Caenorhabditis elegans: one gene and its partner. The protein of the gene in region 2 interacts with the protein of the main gene of each other region in a pairwise test. Each region holds a gene or a part of one and is shown on either strand. Other genes may lie near its edges. The genes, in order: D1007.8 and brc-2.

Region 1 (3,403 bases), on a different chromosome or scaffold from region 2:
AATACGATACAAAAATTGTTGGGAATCCGTGCATTTCGAATAATCACAAAACAGCTGATTATCATTTGAGAACACTTTCATATGTTGCAGAGTAATCATTTCATTGGATGGAGCACGAAGACATACTGAAAATTATTTTTTGCGAAAAATGGAAAATTTAAATGATTTTTATTACAATTTTGATCCAGGCTTTTGCTCGAAAAGTGCACATTATTCATGGAAACTTTGTATCCTTCAAAGTTAGCATCAATCTTGGAATGATCCACAGGAAGATTGATTGATTGCATTTTAGATTTAATTGGTATAGGGGATTGACCAGGCCTGAAACCATTTTTTTTTCGATGAATTACTAAAAAATCAATTTTTTGGTGAAAAATAGAAGTTTCTTAGTTTCATTTTGCTTATTTCAAGCGTTTTTTATTATAAAATGTTCTACCAATTTCTTTCATTAAAATTTAGTTGTAGAATACTGAAATTTCATTAGAAAGAATATTGGGAAAATGGCAATTACCGTGTGCCGCCGACTGAAGATATGAAAAAAGGTTTAAAACCTTTAAGGGAACATATTAGAAATTGAAATTATTTAAAAAAAAAGAAATAAAAGTTTATAAAACAGATTGTGGAATGAAAGACAAGGCAAGATGTCTATAAGTGAAAATTGAACACGATAAAATAAAATTAAGCTGAATATTATAAATTCAGGCGTTTTCGAAGGAATCATATTCTGGTTCCGGCTCCTCTTTTGGCTTCTCCTTTCGAGCCATTGGCACAAGGCTCACTGGTCCTTTATCAAATGAATCTTCCTCATCATCTTCTTCTTCTTCCTCCTCATCCTCTTCATCCGAATCATCACTGCTATCCTCAGATACATCTGATTCTTCTTTAACAAGTCCACTTGTCGATATTCCTGCTGCCAATTGTTCAATTTCCGTTGGCCACACTCCCATATTATTTTCGCAAGAAGATGATTGTTCCAGCATTCCCATTGGGAACCGATTCAAACTTCCCACTTTGTTCTTCAAACCGAAACGAGTAGGAACATTGGTGCTGGCGCCTGCTGGCAAGATAGGTGTGTGCTGGAAAATGGGCAATTATTGGCTTTTAAAAATTCACTGAAACTTGCCTTTTTATAGAACTTCTCTGAAAAACGGCAGATTATTTGAAAAGCGGCGAATTGTTCATCTGAAGCTTTGTGCATCGAAAATGCGTTCAAAAACTTCTTTCCATTCTCCAAAATTCGAACTTTTCCGAATACTTCAACACGGTCCCCGACGTTGAACTTCTTGGCAGATTCTTCGGTGAAAGAAGCCTGAAATTAATACTTTTTTCCAATGTTACACGATATATTCAGACTAACGGTGAGGATTTTTTGAACCAAAATATTATGATTATCTTTATCAGTAATCATGTATTCTACATCAGAATCTCCGAACTTCACAGATTCGATTACACCCATCACTTGAACGCGAACAACGTCTGCCGTTCCGTACTCGATTCGTTCTTTTGTTGAATTGAATAGCGCTGAAATCGGCATTGGGACGGCATGTTCTGGAATATACCGGTGAGTTTCCATCTGAAATCATGAACAATATGTGAGAAAAACACAGAAATTTGAAGATAAAATCGACGTCTACAAACGACACTGTTTAGCGCAAGAAGCATGCTCTATTGATAAAATGGTTTCAGCGAATTTTAAAAATTTCAGAGAAACTTTAGTTCGACTTTAAAATAGTGCACGGATTAAACAGAAAACCTGAAAAAATAAAACTGTTGAATAGCCTGAATGAAAAAATTTATGATTGCGATAGATAGCCCGGTTTTGAAATAAATAAAAAATCACAGAAGCAAATAACTGCCACCACTAGTACAAGTACACAAGAAAGACGGTTGAATACACTGAATAATATTATGTTTTAAAATTAGTCATCTTCGTCGGAGCTTTCGCTAAGTGCCAATCCATACTTCTCCTCAGAATCTTTGTTTTTATTTCCACTACTTGATATATAGGGAGCCACGTGGCTTTCTTTGTGATTGTAGGTATTTGAAGACGAAGGCGGTGCGGGTTCTCTTTCTGTATATGGTTTGGGCTTTTTCATTTCTTCCAATAATATCTTCTCGCTCTCATCTTCATCATCACTGGAATCGCCATTCGATTTGTCGGAATCAGATGATCCATCAGAATCACTACTCGAATCTGATGTATCTCTCTGCATTTGTTTCTGAATTTTCGCTTTCTCCTCCGGTGAAGATGGTCCAGATCGCTGATTATTAGAAGAAGTTCTCAATCTTTCGATTCCACGTTTCAATGCGAGTTCTGTTCCTTGATCTAGATCTCTCGTCTTTTTTACATTAATATTGCTCGTAATTTTCTCCAAGCGAACTGTGTTGGTCTTTTTGTCGAAGAACAGAAGACATTCTTTCGGTTTTGCTTCTTTTTTCGATCCTTTATATACAGTCATATTGTCTCCTTCGCTTGGTACAGAGACATGTACATCACCGCTGTTCCCAAACGCTATGAAGGTGTCGGCATTGTTTGATACAGAGCTTGGCTTGAAATCGTCTGTAAATTTTAGCTATTTCGATTTTATATTTTTAAATTTCTGATATATTTAATCTTAAAATTGTGCAGTTAACCTACATCTTAGCGTGTGAAATTGCTCTGCCTTAGGGTCACTTTTCCGTCCTTTTACTTCAAATGACTTCCCGAGGGTCAAGGTGTAAGTACCATTCGGAATATCACTTGACTCTGCCATGTGAAACTGAAAAAATGATTATTATTAAATCATATGTGAATATTTTGAATTTTTTAATTTGAAAAAAAAATCGATAATTTTATTATATATTACAATGAAATTCTTCAGAATAGTGCCAATTGTGTGCGCGAGAGTACCATTAGCTGTGGGCGGAGTCTTCGGTTGGCAAGCCTGGCACGCCGTTTTGCAAGTGTGCGGCACAGTGTTGACCTCGGCGCTTTACCATTTTTATGCCGGCTTTCTTTCCTATTTTCATTCAAAACGCTATAATTAGATGAATTTGTACATAAATTATTAAATTATATTCAACTACTGAAAAAGTATCAAAATCATGAAAAAACTTAGTGGGAAAATAGTTTACATTGGATTTTAAACCGTCGACATATCGCATTTATCGATTTTTCAAAAATAAGCGTTTGGAATATTTGCTATTCGTTAAAATTAGCACATCCACCTTTACTCTTAATTCTGCAATTGTATCTTTCCACTATTCCTTTTATTCAGTTTATTTTCTCGCTTCGCATTATCGATTTTAATTTGAATTGGCTTTTTTCAGAACAAAACTCTCATCAGTGGGATCACCATGGAGACGGAAGTGATGAAATCGTTTAATAATGAATTGTCGTCACTATTCGACTCGAAAAACATGA
Region 2 (3,928 bases):
TACTTTATGTTTCAAGTAAGAGCCAAAATCTTTCCAGTCGACTTCTGCCACGTCAGTGCATTCCCATTCATCATTCGATTTTTCGATTTCAACCATAACAGGGCGGAACACATAGTTTTGTCTGAAAAAATGCAACGGAATTTAAAAAATTATAAATTGAAAGTTAAAACGCCGCAAAAATCTCACCGTTCCTGGGGGTCTTTGAATCGGAACCAATTGTCAAATCCTTCATATCCTAACAAATCGAGTAATTTCTTCATATTTTTTGTAGTCACATTGATAAACATTTGACCGGAGAAGTCCATAACTCGCACCTGAAGTTTTTTTGTAACGATACTTCCCAAAAACTAAAATTCAAAAAATTATCTAAATTCAGCTAAAATCTCAAACTTTGTCAACTTGACAATGTCACAACTCGCAGAAGTGAGTTCCGACCGCCGCACCACTGACAAGTCGGAAAAATTTGAGATTTTAGCTGAAAATAGGCTATTTATCCAAAACATTAAAAATGTTCTATATTAGGAAATAGGCAATATAAATATAAAGAACATACTCTAGAATACATCGACAATTCAGATTTTCCTTGGGAATCCTTACAAAACTCGCATTGATTCGCTGCTTCTGGGAGAGAGTGTTTGCATTTCGAACATCTGAAACCAATATTATTATATTAATTATCAAGGAATCAGTATGTACCCTGCATAAAAATCCAAATTTAAATCGAGTAAGTTAACTTGGACAACTGTTTTTTTGATTTTCGTGTCTGACAATTCGTGGATAACTGAAATAATAATTTTTTTAGGTGAAAACTCGAAATGGCTCACATCTGGGTTTGATGCAAAACGGCTTCTTGGCAATTGAATGGCGTCGGATACCGGATTTCGCACCATTTTCCTTATTTTTCAGAACTCTATCAATATAGATTTCTGTAACATCGCCTGAGCTTGCTGAAAGTTTACGAAAAATTAAATCAATAGCTACAATCGATTGAGCATTACATTTTTTACAGACTTCCGCGTCGACATGAATTCTGTCGCCAAATTTAATATCAGAGCCACGATTGTAGCTACAAGTGGCCAGGATTAGAGGAGTTGAGCTGGATTCTTGAAGAATAATTCGGAATTTATCCTTTTCGTAGATTCGAGAAACACGCAAAACATCGGCGTGGATTTCTGAAAAAAGACTCCGGATTACGAGAATTACGGAATAAAGAACAGTTTTCAAAAAGGAGAGCCAATTCTAGAGCTTAACTAACCTTTAAACTCCTTCTTCTTTTCTTTTTTCGAATGTTTTTTACTTTTTTTAGAAGAACTGCTGGTTGATTTTTTTGCTGGTGGAGCTTCGAAATCTTCGAAACCGCCGCTAGCCGGCCGTTTTGTAGTTGTTGAGCTCGTTCTGAAAAGAAAAACTTCGAGCTAGATAGCACCTTTGAAACTTACCCTTCTCTTCGAAACGGTGAAACGAAAGCGCTCGACCCATTGTTTTTGCGCACGAGAGGGGAAGAAAATCCGCCTTTAGACGAGGATTTGCTCTTGAGATCACTCTGAATTTGAAATTTTTTATATTAGAAGAATAAATGTGTTGTCGAAGTTAATTTCAGAATATGTTCCATTATTTCCTTTTAATTCCAAAGCTTACATTCAACATCTTCTTTGATTTATCAATCGATTCCTGCTTCACATCAATTCGGATACCAGCCGCTGTTGAAAAAACCGGTTCCATTGATATCGGTACGCCTTTCGGCTCATCAAAGCTGTCTGGTTCAGATATTGTGTCGAAACTGTCTTTTCTGAAAACAAAGAATTGCAATTCATGTATGTTTCTCAATTTTCTTGCTATAACAATAAAATAAATCTTGACTAACACTTTTTTAGATGAGTCACCCATCGGTCGATGTCACAATATTCTGGTAAAGTCTGAAAATTTCATTTTGAGTTCAGAAATTTGAGATTTCAATTGAAAAAAAGGGAAAAAATTAAATTTTTGTTTTTCAAATAAACTGAGAATTTTACTGTCCGGTGGAGCGTAATTGCATTATTTCCTTTTTGAGAAAAAAATTGCGACACTAATTTATTTATTTCCGCCTTTTCTTCTAATTTCGTAATGCAAAATCAATTATCTCACAAATTATAACACGAACCGTTTCTGCCGTTTAAAACTGTGGAAATAATTATATTTATGTGCGGTTTTCATTCATAAAACGAGGGGAAACCCCCAATTGACCTTTCCTCTCTGAATAAAAAAGCAAAGCAAATATTAAATCCGTGTATTTTTTGCGTCATTCTTTTCTATCTCTTACTCTTTTTGCCCCCGCAGTAATAAAGATCTAGAGAAATAGAGAAGAAAAGGAGAAAGTGAGGAAAAAAAATACATGCTCGCAGAGTTCGAAGCTTTGGTCTAACTAGTTGAGATTTCTTCCCAGCTTGATGTTTTTCCGGGTCGCTTTTTCCTTTCATCTCTTAAATTTTCATTTTCCATTTCTTGGGTATTTTCTTTTGATAATCAAATTAAAGAAAAAGCACTCGATTTTAGGTGCAATCATTCAAAAAATTCTTTTGATAAAATAATCACCTTATCACCATTTTAATGTCATTCCCGCCATGAAAACCTGATTTTACAGTCTAAACCTTTCCTATTTTCTCATGATGACGCTCTGATTTTTTTTAATTTCTCGACATAAATTTAATTTCAGCCAAACTTCAAAATGGCTCCATTGCCACGTGTGAAATGTTATTTCGATGTGGTCTGTCCCAATTCATGGATCACTATTCAGGTACATTTGTAATCTAGAAAAACTTGTTTTGATACAATTTAAACTGAAAGATTTTGTTTTTCCGGGTTTTCATTTCCATTGCCCTTCAGAATCATGTGCTTCACGTGAAATAGAAATGGGTCGCATGTGAAAAATAGATAGATCTCAGCCCTTTTTGAATGTTTTATTATTCCCGAAAATAAAAAAAGATGGAAAGAAAATCAAATATAATTTTCAGGCTCTTACATCACACAATTCTCTATTCGAGCGTATAGATTTTGAGCCAGTTTGTGATTTTAAAATTGGAATTCTTCATAATGCTCAAATCTGGAACCAACGTCGACAAGTACACAATTCGAGACTTTGGAAAACGAAAATAGGTAAGTAGTTTGAAAATATATAGAAATCCAAATAATCGCGGGAAAGTTATTTCAGAAGTTCCAGAGCAAGCAGAAAGCGAAGAAACACTCTCAGAAATGGGAATTCTACAAAAAATCGACGAGCGTGGCAAGAAACTTATTGGTTGTGAGCGTGTCGTGCCACCTGTAGATTGGAAAAACGTTAGATTGATTTCGAATATTTATTCTCAAACAAATATTTTTAGACCTACAAAACAGCGGTAGCACGTGGATCGGTCATCCCTCAGCTGTTCCTCACTTCAATCCGTGAACAATACCCAGACCTCTATGAAAAAGCAATTCATCACTTGGGAAAACGGCTCTGGGAGCAGCGACTTCCAGTTCACTACGGGTGTCACATGTCTACAGTATGCCGTGAACTTGGAATCTCATTCAAAATCGCAGAAGACATTGTGGCTCGTCTCTCATCTCCAGAAAATCGATCGATACTACACAAAAATTGCAAAGAAGCCGTGGATTTCAAAGTAAATTTTAATTTTCTAGAAATAAAATCAAGAATTTCCTTTTTCAGCTTACTGAAGCACCCGGATTAATCTTGTTAACTGATGAAGGAGACACTATAAAAGTTGATAAAATCAATGATATTTTTGATGATAATATCATGATTTCCAAGCTCTCAAGTGTATCATCAAGCCAACCAGTCGAGCAAAAAATGTCTGCAAATCGACTTTAAATTTAGTTTTTTTGTTTCCAATTCTTCCTTCCTCACCCACCTTTTTCTTCATATTTACCCACTTTTATTGCACTTTACTCGCAT

Evidence for each region.
Region 1: the proteins of brc-2 (region 2) and D1007.8 interact in a two-hybrid assay, tested with the Caenorhabditis elegans proteins (one large-scale study listed by BioGRID).

What each region holds. Positions count from the first base shown.
Region 1 is NC_003279.8:4,602,573-4,605,975, reverse strand, and holds D1007.8 (Nucleic acid-binding, OB-fold protein), read right to left. Parts: upstream 1,574-3,403; coding exon 1,358-1,573; intron 1,310-1,357; coding exon 1,124-1,309; intron 1,077-1,123; coding exon 699-1,076; 3' UTR 591-698; downstream 1-590. Other genes in the region: C44E4.5 (NudC domain-containing protein 1), read right to left, coding at 1-125, 176-287; eaf-1 (Ell-associated factor Eaf), read right to left, coding at 1,920-2,560, 2,639-2,753; nrd-1 (CID domain-containing protein), read left to right, coding at 3,337-3,403.
Region 2 is NC_003281.10:6,901,191-6,905,118, forward strand, and holds the start of brc-2 (DNA repair protein brc-2), read right to left. Parts: upstream 1,917-3,928; 5' UTR 1,888-1,916; coding exon 1,865-1,887; intron 1,790-1,864; coding exon 1,639-1,789; intron 1,544-1,638; coding exon 1,440-1,543; intron 1,396-1,439; coding exon 1,256-1,395; intron 1,173-1,255; coding exon 999-1,172; intron 948-998; coding exon 825-947; intron 782-824; coding exon 697-781; intron 651-696; coding exon 554-650; intron 315-553; coding exon 187-314; intron 122-186; coding exon 4-121; intron 1-3. Other genes in the region: T07E3.3 (DSBA-like thioredoxin domain-containing protein), read left to right, coding at 2,705-2,773, 2,991-3,132, 3,188-3,312, 3,357-3,635, 3,683-3,844. UniProt on the Caenorhabditis elegans protein: Required for the homologous recombination repair of DNA double strand breaks, thereby playing a role in chromosome integrity. Acts by targeting rad-51 to sites of DNA damage and stabilizing rad-51-DNA filaments by blocking ATP hydrolysis catalyzed by rad-51.